4 linked regions of the Arabidopsis thaliana genome follow. The protein of the gene in region 3 interacts with the protein of the main gene of each other region in a pairwise test. Each region holds a gene or a part of one and is shown on either strand. Other genes may lie near its edges. The genes, in order: CRF6, CRF7, AHP4 and CRF3.

The links.
Region 1: the proteins of AHP4 (region 3) and CRF6 interact in a protein complementation assay, tested with the Arabidopsis thaliana proteins (one study listed by BioGRID).
Region 2: the proteins of AHP4 (region 3) and CRF7 interact in a protein complementation assay, tested with the Arabidopsis thaliana proteins (one study listed by BioGRID).
Region 4: the proteins of AHP4 (region 3) and CRF3 interact in a protein complementation assay, tested with the Arabidopsis thaliana proteins (one study listed by BioGRID).

The regions. Positions count from the first base shown.
Region 1 is NC_003074.8:22,803,653-22,807,094, forward strand, and holds CRF6 (cytokinin response factor 6), read left to right. Parts: upstream 1-1,527; 5' UTR 1,528-1,621; coding exon 1,622-2,569; 3' UTR 2,570-2,875; downstream 2,876-3,442.
Region 2 is NC_003070.9:8,134,650-8,138,034, forward strand, and holds CRF7 (Integrase-type DNA-binding superfamily protein), read right to left. Parts: upstream 1,386-3,385; 5' UTR 1,177-1,385; coding exon 697-1,176; 3' UTR 531-696; downstream 1-530.
Region 3 is NC_003074.8:5,552,219-5,556,362, forward strand, and holds AHP4 (HPT phosphotransmitter 4), read left to right. Parts: upstream 1-1,978; 5' UTR 1,979-2,132; coding exon 2,133-2,177; intron 2,178-2,255; exon of another isoform or gene 2,256-2,265; coding exon of another isoform or gene 2,266-2,292; coding exon 2,293-2,423; intron 2,424-2,496; coding exon 2,497-2,565; intron 2,566-2,799; coding exon 2,800-2,871; intron 2,872-3,064; coding exon 3,065-3,137; coding exon of another isoform or gene 3,138-3,149; exon of another isoform or gene 3,150-3,175; intron 3,176-3,252; coding exon 3,253-3,300; 3' UTR 3,301-3,571; downstream 3,572-4,144. UniProt on the Arabidopsis thaliana protein: Functions as a two-component phosphorelay mediator between cytokinin sensor histidine kinases and response regulators (B-type ARRs). Plays an important role in propagating cytokinin signal transduction through the multistep His-to-Asp phosphorelay.
Region 4 is NC_003076.8:21,617,200-21,620,857, reverse strand, and holds CRF3 (cytokinin response factor 3), read left to right. Parts: upstream 1-1,576; 5' UTR 1,577-1,832; coding exon 1,833-2,897; 3' UTR 2,898-3,144; downstream 3,145-3,658.

The sequences.
Region 1 (3,442 bases), about 17 Mb from region 3:
AGTACCTACTACGACTATCCTAACGAATGTCATGCAATTTAATGTTCCATATACAATTTTTTTTTTTTTAATATATTAAAAACAACCCAATAGGGCATGGGCTAAGACCCAATACACAGATGAAATCCAGTTACAAAATAGGTTAAACAGAAAAAGTCACCGACAAACAAAGAGGTTCGAACCTTGCTGCTGGTCGGAAGCAGAGTGGTCGGAGCCTTATATCTGGCGGACTCAAGCATCACAGCTTTGCGGCCGCAGACGACGGATCGAGAAACGCAGCTGGAAGATTCCGGTTTCCATCTGCACCTATCTCCGCCGTCGCACCAACCCACCACAACTCTCCCAGAAAGCTAACCACTCCGACTTACCGGTTCCGCGATATCTGTTCCATGCCAAGCAACCCGATACACTAGAGTTTAACCCCTCTCCGACTTAATGTTCCATATACATACTACTAACTATTATTAAATCAAACTGACTGTTATTTTTAAGGTCTAACTTTTAACACGAGTACCTGACTAATCCCACGTAAAAAAAAAGTCTTGAAATCACATGTATCTTTTTATAAAATCACAGGTGAATTCGTGTAAGTTATATAAGGTTCAAAATAAAACAATATAGAATTACTGTAAGTTACAAGATTTGGTATATTAACTTGTAGAATTATCGATATAATAAAAGCTTATTTTTCAATTATTATTTTAGGACCAAATCTAGTCAAAGCTCAACCATTAACTATGGAAATCTAATTTCTAGTTACCTTTTTAATAGTAGCTTTTTCTAATAAAGTTTCTGATAAGAGACTTGGTCTCCAAGCAAAAGATCATAAATTTTTTCCGAAATTAAAAATATATTTTAATATTAAAGACGAGATTTTATTACTCTTTCAAACACATCGTTAGATTCATTACCATTAAACTTCACAATTTCCATATTGGGTCAATGCGAATTGACACATACTCGTGACCAATCTCACACGCGTGGAGCCCACTAGCCGGCGCGTGTAGCAAACGTAAAACAGACCGCGCGTAAAAGAGTTAAAAGTTGCTTGGAGACCAAGCTATAGATTAGGACAATTGGCTCTACTTTCGGTACGGTAACTACCACGTGTCATAAATCTAACGTCTCAATCTGAGATGCGGAAAGCCGTTTCTGGATCCCCCATTGGCCGCCACGAAACCGCCCTTAAGCATCGTCCCTCTTTACATTAAATCCAAATCTAATTCCCGGTTTATAAACTCCATTAACCGGATTAAATTTCAATAGGTTAAGCTTTGATAAACGTATGTCATTTCACCAACTATATTTTAAGATACGTTTAGTTATAAGGTTGAATGAGTTTTGATTGGGTCAGTGTCTCATATCATATGAATAGTGTTGAACACGCATCAATTTCTCTGTAACAGTTAAAATCTAATTAAATTAATTACATAGAAAAAATCACGTTACTAAACAAAAATCTCCAAAAATAGTGATGAGTTAATAGTATTTAAGAAGGATGTTCCTGAGAAACGGCGATTCTTCTTTAACCTTTTGACTCTTCTTCTCTCTCTCTCTGCAAATTCAAAACAGTGAAAAAAACCTCTCTTCATTTTTTAACTCCCTCTCTCTCTCTCTCTCTATGGAGAGACGAACGAGACGAGTGAAGTTCACAGAGAATCGTACGGTCACAAACGTAGCAGCTACACCATCTAACGGGTCTCCGAGACTGGTCCGTATCACTGTTACTGATCCTTTCGCTACTGACTCGTCTAGCGACGACGACGACAACAACAACGTCACGGTGGTTCCAAGAGTGAAACGATACGTGAAGGAGATTAGATTCTGCCAAGGTGAATCTTCTTCCTCCACCGCGGCGAGGAAAGGTAAGCACAAGGAGGAGGAAAGCGTAGTGGTTGAAGATGACGTGTCGACGTCGGTGAAGCCTAAAAAGTACAGAGGCGTGAGACAGAGACCTTGGGGAAAATTCGCGGCGGAGATTAGAGATCCGTCGAGCCGTACTCGGATTTGGCTTGGGACTTTTGTCACGGCGGAGGAAGCTGCTATAGCGTACGATAGAGCCGCGATTCATCTCAAAGGACCTAAAGCGCTCACGAATTTCCTAACTCCGCCGACGCCAACGCCGGTTATCGATCTCCAAACGGTTTCCGCCTGCGATTACGGTAGAGATTCTCGGCAGAGCCTTCATTCACCGACCTCTGTTCTAAGATTCAACGTCAACGAGGAAACAGAGCATGAGATTGAAGCGATCGAGCTATCTCCGGAGAGAAAGTCGACGGTTATAAAAGAAGAAGAAGAATCGTCGGCGGGTTTGGTGTTCCCGGATCCGTATCTGTTACCGGATTTATCTCTCGCCGGCGAATGTTTTTGGGATACCGAAATTGCCCCTGACCTTTTGTTTCTCGATGAAGAAACCAAAATCCAATCAACGTTGTTACCAAACACAGAGGTTTCGAAACAAGGAGAAAACGAAACTGAAGATTTCGAGTTTGGTTTGATTGATGATTTCGAGTCTTCTCCATGGGATGTGGATCATTTCTTCGACCATCATCATCACTCTTTCGATTAAAAATCTCTTCTTTTTTGGGGAAATTTTTGTGTGGTGATGATGACGTGGATACATCGTGACCGTCGGCTTACCTTTTTTAGTCTGAATGACGTGGACTGTTCAGATCAACTGAAGCGCAAACCCAAAAAAACTAGGGTTTTGTTTTATTAATTTGTGGGTAAATATTTTAGTTAAGAAGAAGATAAGTATGTTAATGTTTATCAAGGTTTGGACCTTTCGTTGTTTTGGTTCCTCTCTCTGAGATTGTCTCAACGGTAGGAAGCAGTATATAAATGTGTTTCTATGTCTATAAATTATTTATGAAAAACAAATCGTATGGAATTTTATTATGATTATGCGACAAGTGAAACAAGTCTTTACTTCGAAGTAAAAAAACAAAAAAAAAACTTATTCACAAATAGAATTGTCAGAACAGTCTTGGAAATTCAAGAAAAGTCATGATCTTGACTAATTATAAATGAATGATTGTATCATATTATTGATATCATCTTTTGTGATTAGAGATCAAAAAATATTTATATATATAGTACTTTAAAATATAAAAAATTATATTTTAAATAGTAATCACCATGCACCAACACCTCTCTTCTTCTTTTTTTTTTTTTTTGCATATGCAATTGTTGTTTTGTTGTGACAAATAAAATAAAACTGTGGTGCTCCTATCTACCAATTATTATGAAGCGATGTCATGGTTTACTTATCGCTTTCTACAAAAATGTTCTCAGTCATGTAGAATTGGTGCTGGTTTTGTTGAGTGTATTAAATGTAAATCCGTATCCTTTTTTTATATATAACATAAATCTTTAATATAAAGTATGTGACAAATTGTGAAAAATCTTATGATAAATAAAATTTTTAAATTTTTAAATTTTA
Region 2 (3,385 bases), on a different chromosome or scaffold from region 3:
TATGGTTTTGTTAAAAAAATATGTGATGATGATTCAGCCTGTTCTGTTCTGATGGTCTTTGTGAGCTAAGCTTTAGGCTAATGTGGTTGAACACAGCTTTTCGGTCTGATCAAAGTTTTGACAAAGATGGTCCTACTGAGGAGGACCGGCTCAAAAAGTTAACCAGATCAGTTTTTTCACAACCTTTTTTAATAAATCAGTTACTGCTCCACCGGTTCCGCTGGTCGGTACAACATCCCTAGCTAGCTTGACAGCAATTTAACATACTTAAAACATATTAATTCTTTTCAGTTGGTGAAAGTGACAACAAGACCGACCAAGTTAGTTTAACAAAGAAACGCTCATGAAAGCAGCATCTAACAGAGTCATCATAAGTAAAAGAGATCAGGAGATAACCAAATTGCAAGAGAAATATAGCAGTTTTTCAAGTACAGTTGGTAGAACAATTGTCTCAATTTCGATCCAAAAGAAAGACTTTTGATCAATTAAGGTAAAACCAATATGGAAATTTTAAGCAATAGTTATGCTGATCAAAATGTACAATTATGAAAACCAAGAATCTGGATTGAAAAATTAGAACTTTTATAATTCAAACATGTACAAGAGAAGTTAAAAAGCAAAGAGCAAGATGATCAAATTTACAAAAGATGATGATAAACAAAAGTAACCTTGCAAAGTTAGTTATAAACAAGAAAATCAAACAACTTCTTCAGAAGCACCACCACTAGCATCAGAATCTTGCTTTTTCACCACCGCAGAATCAACATCAGGACGGCCAAAATTAGTCGGCGCATCAGGTCCAATCAACTGAATCGCAGCGTTATCATAAGCAAGAGCAGCTTCTTCAGCTGTTTCAAAAGTTCCAAGCCAAATTCGTTCAGGTCTTCCTTTAACTCTACCACATCTAATCTCAGCCGCCCACTTCCCCCATGGTCTCTGCCTCACGCCACGGAACTTCTTCTTATTCGCCGTCGTATTCCTCGCAGCAAGTAAACTCGCCGGAATCCTGATTTTGAACCGAGTTTTTCCGACCTCCGGGGGATCAGAATGATCGATTACGATTTCCTTGACTAGCTTCTTACCTCGACGGCGTGATGACGGTGGTGACTCGTCTTCGCTGCTTGAAGAATCGGTTGCTTCCATGTCTGTGAATGAAATTCGAACAATTCGTTTCATCTTTCGCCGGGAAATTTGACGACGGAGAGGGTTGGTGGTTAGGGTTTGTGTCCGCTTCTTTTAAAAGAAAGATTTGTTTGGTTTATGATTCGATCAGGAGAAGGCTTTGGCTTGTGCGTTACTTAATCCAAAATTAACCGACTTACTGTTTCTCTTATCTTTTAGAATCCGTGTGTAATTATGAGTATTGAACTATTGATCAATCTCATCAAGTCGGTTTTGAATTCAAAATTGATGACCAACAAATATTTCGAAAAATCTGTTTTCGGACAAAAATATTATTAAGTTAATTGGTAAAAAAGTAAAATCATGAAGGAAAAACAAATACTGTATGGATTTTGAATTTCATAACAAGATCATTTTTTTCACTTTTTTTTCTACACAAAGATTGATTTACAACAACAACAACAACAATATTGATTTGAAAAGAAAAAAAGATCTTGGTCTGACTCAGTTGTCTAGTTTTCAAGCCCACCTGAAAGAACCCAAAGTGAGCAGAACTAGTCTGGTTCGCAGAAAACTGGACTTCAAATTCCGAAAAACCTATTTATTTTGGGCCTTAAGAACTTCTTTAAGGCCTTTTAGTGATTCCATGACTATTTTGAATTGACATGTTGTTCTCCTTCAAGGCTTCTCCTTTACTTATTTTGTAGAGAGTGTAGGCTTATTATAGGGACTACTTACTTATATAAGTTGTACCAAGGTAATTTAGTTGGTATAATTTCTAGACTGTAATTTTCAATCATCAATGTATTTTTTCAACTAGGAATTACATAGTCACACTCACATAAGTATCATATGTCATATGATAATTTGATCACTAGGTACTGAAGTGTGTCTACAAGCTATATTTTTTCTCAAACTCAGATTTAGTATATTTGCAATATTGTTTCTCTAATGATGACGAATTAAATTATGTATGGACCGCTAACATATGTGACCACTCAGTTAGAACTTCTCAATGTTTTATTTTATGCATTGTACAATTTCATGAACTCTATCAAAACATTTGTTGTATATGTTTATTTTACAAAGATAGTTTTGGTACCCTATAGTTGCTTAGTTAACTTGCTTATACCCTAAATCTTAATCAACAAGAAAACGTAAAACCCACTCAGTGAATCAAATTATCAACCAATTAACGTAAAACGCATGATATCATGTTTTATAAGATGTGTTATGTGTAAGACCAGGTTTGAAAAAGTGTGAAATAATATAATATTACTCTTCGATTGATCCTTAATTGCGATATCTTTCGTATGATTTCAACTATATATGACGCACTTACAAGTTACAACGATATTAATTATATTAATATCGTTTTCTCATATATTCATATATGCATATGATATGACTGAATTATTTATTATTCGCCTCCACAAGTTACAGGACTATAAATTATTCATCTCCAGAAGTTGCGTTGCACCACTAAATATGAAGAGAAGATAAAACCGAACAGGTAAAAGGGACGTTTACCAAAATATCAACCTAATCTTCCCCTAAACCAAATTTTTCCAATTAAGTTTATTCTTAAGCACAATCAACTCTCTGTTACTTTAAAGTATTCTCGTGACCACTGATTGTTTTTCCTGGTGTATAAGTAAGTACCACAAAATATAAGAACATGACATAAGACTCTATAAAATATGTATAACTAAACATTTTTCATTTGTAGCCAGATAAAAGAAATCTATGGGCCGGAAGTCGTATTATTTGACACGGCACTTTTGGTTAACGTATAAACTATCTGATTTTATAAGCTGTCAAAACAAAAAAATGGTAAATTTAACATTCATAAAATATCATGATGTTCCACAGGTCACATCAGTGAAAGACTAAACTTTCTGATTTTTTGTAAAATTGACTATGAGGACATGCATGAATTAATATTCTACGACCACAATTACTTCTCTAATCTGGATTGAAAAATGGCCACCGTATACATTTCTTTAAATAACGTTTTTCAAATTTTATTATAAAATCTAGGGGACTACCATATTATATGTATAAACGTCCATATCCATCTTAGAAATGTTATCAATAATAGGTCTGAAAAATTTCATAGAACCACACTTATTTTGGAGCTGAATTCAATCCCCCAACGTACTTTCTCGTTCTTGTTATGTTTCGTTGTCGCTTTGTTTATATTTCTTCTTATTTTAGGGGTTTTTTCAGTTCGATTTTGTTTTGTTTTTAGTTAGCGGACGAA
Region 3 (4,144 bases):
ATAAAGGAATAATTGGATTGTGTAACACATATACAACAAAATTTAGATAAATGTCATGAATTTTGTCCTCTTTTATTAGAATTTTATCTTGTATAATACTAAAAGGTAAACATAATAACATTTGATTTAAATACAAAATTGGGGTTTATCATGTAAAACCAACCTCACAAGTTTTGGAATGAATTGTTTTGTTTCTTCTAATTTTGTGGTATTACATATTTGTTATTAGAGGGGAGGTCGGAATTAAGGAGAATAATCGAGATGAGACAGCAAGCAATAATAAAACTTAGATTCTAAACCCACTTCCACCGAAAATATGTAGTAGACAAGTCCTTTATGTGAGATTGGTTTGGTGGGCGGAGGAATAAATAAAGCTGATTTTTTTTTGTATATGATCAATCTCTCTCTCTTCTGTAATTCGATCTCACGATGCTTGTCTGAGAGAGAAAGAGATATAGAAAGGAACAAATTATGCTGTAATGATAAAAAGATCTTTTATGTCTTTGTGTCAATCATTTAGATCACACTTGTTATGTGCTCTTCAGTTTTTCCTTTTTAGATACTTGTTCCTTGTTTCCAATAACAGAAATTTATGGTTTATTTTTTACTCGTTGGATATATGTATACCTTATTCTCTCTCTCTCTCTTTTTGGTTTCCTACTTCTTTCTTTTTTTGTTACAATATAGAAGTAGGAAACACACGCATCCGCACAAGTACTAGCCTTTCCTTGGCACACAACACCCTCTCACCTCCACACATTAATGGAAGAAACTTGGAAAAGATTTGCATCTAATTTTTCAATGTTTGTTGCAGCGGTCAAAGAGAAAGAAAACACATCAAACAGAAAACCCCAATAGAAATCTATTTATTTCTGGTCTTGATCATGATACTAACCTTGACTATGTTTTTAATATAAAAATGTCGTTTAATGTTTATCACAAGATATAATCCTTACTTAGTAATTGAATTCCGGACCCCAAACTAAAATACTTCGAATTAGTATTGCTTTCTGTTGTTGAAACAAAAGATAAGCAATAATAGTGTTTGCTAGTGTGCTAGATTCCAACAATTTTTTCTTCCAAAAGTACAACTTTTTTTTGCCCATTTCGTAAATTCATATGTACATATATAGTTGAATGTTGTGGGTGTACGTAATTGGTACCATTAAAATCAGGAAATCACAACCTTAAAAATAACAAAAAAAAAAAGAAAAAAGAAAAGACAATGATATTATAGAAAACTTTGTGAAAACATGAATTAAATTCAGTAATTAATCAAGACGGAAATGGTCTGTTCAGAATATTTTTCTTGAACTGTATACTTTTTCAATCTATAACTTTCTTTTTCACTTTCAGGAAAATTCGTGTCCACATACATTTTACTAGTATATATTTGCCTCATTTCCAAAGGTGTGTTTCGTATAGTATCAACGTTTAGCTTTTAGGTTCTATATTCGAAATTTTACATGTTTCTATGATGTACGTATATATATAATATTAGTCGTATTCCCATTCGTGAGATCCTTTGATTACTTATTAATTAAGATGCATTTCAGTTATATTTTTGGGCAATAGATCAATCATCCACAGTAGTTTAAGTTTCATAATGGACCATACTATTAATTAAACAATCAACATTGAGGAATTCTCTAATTGAAATCTCTTATTCAAAACTTTAACATAAACACTATCTTATATATATAAAAGATTACTATACATTCAAACTTATATATCAACACACATATATGATCATTTGATAACACCTACCATTTGTGTTATACATATATTTTATAGAGAAGTTATAGAAAATTATACTGAGTATACATCTATGTGTCATCGAAATAAGCTGATAATAACGAATACACGTTTTCTTTTTATGTCTGGAGTAGAATACAGCATTCATGCCCTTACGTTGCAGGTTCCCATCATTTTACAAATATTCTCTTCTCTTTTCTACTTTCTCTTTTTTGATGTAATACGATCTATTTATTTATTCTATATTTCACTATATATATCTCAGATGTCCAACGTTTCAGTATTGCATTGCCACTCGAATTACCTAAGATAAAAACGAATTATCACTTTGATTTTTCGCACTTATAGTTAAATCTATTCTCAAAATTTAAACAAACATGCAGAGGCAAGTGGCACTCATCAAGCAGTCCCTCTTTGATCAGGTTTTGGTCGTTTGTTTCTTCGTATTTTCGTAATATAACTTCGTACGTCGTACCACTTATATATGAATTTCTTCATATAATTTAGAAAATGACTAATATAGGAAAATGCATGCAGGGATATCTCGACGAACAATTCATGGAGTTAGAAGAGCTCCAAGATGATGCAAACCCTAATTTTGTTGAAGAAGTTTCCGCATTATACTTCAAAGATTCAGCTCGGTTAATCAATAACATTGACCAAGCTTTGTGAGTATTATTTTGTTTTCTATTATATATATATTTTTTTTTTTTCAGTTTTCTAATCATTTTTACAATGCAGGGAAAGAGGATCATTTGATTTCAATCGGCTGGATAGTTACATGCATCAGTTTAAGGGAAGCAGCACGAGGTAATTTCCCCCCTTAGTTTTTGACTATTCTAATTACGCCTTCAAGAAATAATTTTACTTAAAGAAATGCGAATACTTAAATGTTTATAAGATAAAAGAATGTAACGCAAAAGTACATTAAAATTACTTCCATTCTCATTCAGGATTCAATGACAGAATCTACTTTAACCAGAAATAATTAGATTTTATGATCGTTAGTTATACTGACAAATGTTGCATTTCTTTTTTTTGTAGCATTGGGGCAAGTAAAGTGAAAGCTGAATGCACTACGTTTAGGGAATACTGCAGAGCTGGAAATGCGGAAGGGTACTTTCGTCTTTATACTTATATACCTTCATGCTTCTCGTTTTTAACAGAAAACTAAGTAACGGGGTCAAAATGAAAATAAGTATAGTTTAGATGGCTAAAATTGCTGCAATTAATCCGCTGAACCTTGAACTTTTACTTTACTTCATTTTCGACCCCCTAATTAGTTTTCTTCGCTTTTTCTTACTTGCAGATGCTTGAGGACTTTCCAGCAACTGAAGAAAGAACACTCAACGTTGAGAAAGAAGCTTGAACATTATTTCCAGGCGAGCCAATAATCAATTATGCTTAATAATTTACATAATTAGAATGTGATTAGAAGTTATCATCAATCACTTTTGATATAGTATTTGCTGAAGTGAAATTTTTTGTAATGAACAGTTGGCAAGGCAGGCGGGGCCTAAGGAGACAGCACGTAGGCCCAAGTAAGAGAGAAAGAGAGAGAGACAGAGATAAATGAGGAATCGTCGTCGAATTTTGTAGCAAAACTATATAATAAATAGTTCCTCTTTATTTTTATATATTTCGATGTACGTTATAAAGAAGGTTTTGGACTTTTATATTATGTCCGTTAATAAACGGTCCAAATGTCTCTATGTTTTTCCCCTTATATCGCCAAATTTTCCCTTGGGAGTTTTATAGCTACGATTACCTCGTAACATATGGCTTCCTCTAATAACGGAATACAGAAAAGAGTGGACCAAAAAAATGCATTTTTTCGATTCTATGATGAATGCATTACCTTGTTTACAAAAGGAAAAAAAAAAGAAACTAAGCTTTACATTATTCGGTTTGTTTCCAGGAACCGTGTCCAAATCCTAAATATTCTTACCTATTTTTATATCATTATGTTAATATTTGTCTCTACTAGTACTGATTAATAAATATTTAAAAAAGAAAAAAAAAACCAAAATATTCTTAGGTAAAAGTCTAAAATAACATTATCATTATGTTACTATTTGTCTCTACTAAAACTAATTATTAAAAAAAAAAGAATGCCATGGCTTAGATGCAAACTATTCTTAGCTAAAAGTCTAAAATAATAACATTATCATAAACAATTAATATTACACTTTTCCATCTAATTTCTCTTACATGCCCTATTTTTCAAACGATGTCGTTTAAGAATATCACATAGACCTTCTATTTCATGAAAAAACTAACTCACCAATGCAAATAAATAAATCAAATGTTTGTTTGTGGATAAAGTAAAACGTTTTCTTTCAATGGCCCAGCATTTACTAAAATTTATTTCAAGTTCTTCCACGTAAAG
Region 4 (3,658 bases), on a different chromosome or scaffold from region 3:
TGCATCTATGTTAATTTAGACCAGTTTTGTTTTTGGCTTAACTGTCTTTAACTCTTTAATATATGTACATGCATAGAGTTTGTGTTTTGTGTTTAAGTTATATGTATGTAAACTAGCTTTTAATTTGACACATTTTCTCTATCAAATGTACATGGTTTATGTTTATTGAGCAACAAAAAGTCTTTTACATCTTCAAGTTATTTAAATGTTCCTATTTAATATATCAGAAATGTAACATCACATATTTCCGAGAAAAAAACGATTCTAAATTACACTATTTATGAACTAGAGAGAGTAAAATTTAAAATTAAAATGGCTACTTAATTAAAATACAATCATAATTTTTTTTATTTAAAAAGCAAGTATATCATATCTTGGTTTACAATAACATAATTTCAAATCTCATTGCCATCCAAACAGAAAAATAATTTTTTTACTAGTCCAAAAAATTAGGAACAGATGTAGTAAGCTTTGATATCCCTAAACCCAAGTAAAAACCCCAACAAAAAGATATTAGTAGAAGATTGTTTTTACAACAAATCAAAAATATAGTTTTCAAAAAAAAAAAAAAAAAAAGATACTTGAGAAGCGCGTGGAAAGTACGAATAGCAAGCAGTGGTGGAAGAGCGAGTGAGGGAACAAAGAGTACAGAAAAAAGCCTAGAGACGTACCACACCACCGAATTATAAATGGCGGCAAATCCTAGGTTGCTCGCCACGTTACTTCTAGCTGTAAAATGGTAACATTTCAATTTAACTACCATATTTATATTGATTCAAAGATATTTTCGTCCTAAAATCATTTTAATATCTAAAATTAAATACATAACTTCCTCAGTCACATATTCATCTTCCCTAAATTAACATTATTCGATTATCTAACATGGAAAAATGTATATTGTATAATACAACGTATTCAACTTTGACAAAATCGCATTTATTTTATTTCCCTAACAGTTAAAAAATCGCATTTATTTTATTACCCTCAACATTCGTACGTGACAAGTTGAAAAATTGCATTCAAATAGACGAAGTTACCCTCAACAATCATCATTAATTACTTAATGTCGGTCAAAGCTAGTGGAGTGATAAAAAATTTGTTGAGAAGTAGTAAGTAAATTTGTTTTTATTATTAGTATCAAATAAACTAAAAAGGTAAAAAAAAATTTAAAAAAACCGGGACCGGGTATCTTGGGGGTCACGTGACATGAATCGCGAAATTCGAGACTAGAAGCCACGCGCTGACTCAGCACATACAGGAAGGAGCCAAATATCTAATATCGCCACGTGTCACCATGCGACTTGCGCTCATGAATGCGGCGTCCCGTATTTTTAAACAACTCTCTTATACCCGAAACTACCCTTGGAGTTTTGTAGTTAATTACGGAAAAATGCCACTGATGGAGGAGCGGAAAGAAACAGCTTCGACAAGGAAAGAAATCAAATGATATTAAATATTATATATTATATAGTTTTCGAATTTATTGTTTACTTTTGTAAAAATGAATAAAATAATTATGGCTAAAACCCCGAAGAGATCCTATAAATTAGCATTTCAAGAGTGAGCTAGAGAAGGTCTCCACTTGCGAATCGCTAAAAAAAATCACTGTTTCATAACACGTTTTTCTCTCTCACCCACCAAAAAAAAATCTTTTGTTCTTGTTACCAAAAAATCTCGTGATAAATCTCTTCAAACTTTGTTTTATTTTCTTCTTGATTCTCTCGAAATCTCTCTCAACAAACCCAGAAACTTTCCTTGATTCGCAAGCTTTTCTTCCTTTTATATTCTTCATTTTGATGCGAATATAGAGAGAGTCCATAAAAGAAACAGTAATGGACGAATATATTGATTTCCGACCATTGAAGTACACAGAGCACAAGACTTCAATGACTAAATACACCAAAAAGTCATCGGAAAAACTTTCCGGTGGTAAGTCATTGAAAAAGGTTAGTATTTGTTATACTGATCCTGACGCAACAGATTCATCAAGTGACGAAGACGAAGAAGATTTCTTGTTTCCTCGCCGGAGAGTCAAAAGATTCGTTAACGAGATCACTGTTGAGCCTAGCTGTAACAACGTCGTCACCGGAGTTTCGATGAAAGATAGAAAGAGACTCTCTTCTTCCTCCGATGAAACTCAATCTCCGGCGTCGAGTCGTCAACGTCCTAATAACAAAGTTTCAGTCTCCGGTCAGATAAAGAAGTTCCGTGGTGTTAGACAACGGCCATGGGGGAAATGGGCGGCGGAGATTAGAGATCCGGAGCAACGTCGGAGGATTTGGCTCGGGACTTTTGAGACGGCGGAGGAAGCTGCCGTGGTTTATGATAACGCCGCTATAAGACTCCGTGGACCGGACGCTTTAACTAATTTCTCCATACCGCCTCAAGAAGAGGAAGAAGAAGAAGAACCGGAACCGGTTATTGAGGAGAAACCGGTTATTATGACGACGCCAACACCAACAACATCGAGTTCTGAATCAACTGAAGAAGATTTACAACATCTCTCATCTCCTACTTCGGTTCTCAATCACCGGTCAGAAGAGATTCAACAAGTACAACAACCGTTTAAATCAGCTAAACCCGAACCGGGGGTTTCAAATGCACCATGGTGGCATACCGGGTTTAATACCGGTTTAGGTGAATCAGACGATTCATTTCCTTTGGATACTCCGTTTCTTGACAACTATTTCAATGAATCACCACCAGAGATGTCAATATTTGACCAACCAATGGATCAAATTTTCTGTGAAAATGATGATATCTTCAATGATATGTTGTTCTTGGGTGGTGAAACTATGAACATTGAAGATGAGTTAACAAGTTCTAGTATCAAAGATATGGGTTCAACGTTTAGTGATTTTGATGATTCATTGATATCAGATCTATTAGTTGCTTAATATGATGATGAGAGTGAAGAAGAAACCATCAAGCAAATATCTATGGTGTGACTGAAAAATTTTGGTGTTACTTTTTTTTCTTTCATAAGTTCATGAGCTTTTTTGTTTCTTTTTTAATAATTTATTTAGTTTTGTCAGGAGCTTGTAAAACAGTTTTGGAGAAATAGTGGAAAAATAGTTTAATTATTCTGTATTCTTTATTTATTTAAGTAATTGCGTTATTAGTTGCACGAACGTGTTTAATTTTCAAAGCATTTGGCATTTATTTATTTTTTGTTAATTAATTATTTAATTTTAGAAAAGCCAAAGTGGCATTCTCTTTGTAAAGTCATACTATGAGGCGCAAATTACGGTCGTGGCCAGTGAACTGAGAGGTTTTGGCCTTTGGGTTTGGTCTGGTTGAGAAGAGGTGTTTTGTCTTGTAATAGTCATGTTAATCTTAAATTTTGTCAGTAATATAAACTTCAAAATAAAATGTAAATTAATTAATTGTACAGAACACAAAATTATATCATTTATTATTCCGAAAATTACTATCAAATCCTAAATTCGAACATTATCAGAAATTCATGTTTATGATGGAAATGTTTTGGAAAGAGTTCCAAACACATCACAAACTTTTTGTAACCATTTTCGAATATCATTCAAGAACTCTTTCTAAAGACAAGTGTGTGGCAATGTTCTAGAATTCGAACATGTTGGTGGTAGGTGTTTTTTTTAGATGGATTTTTGGGATCCATATGACATTTTATTCATGATGG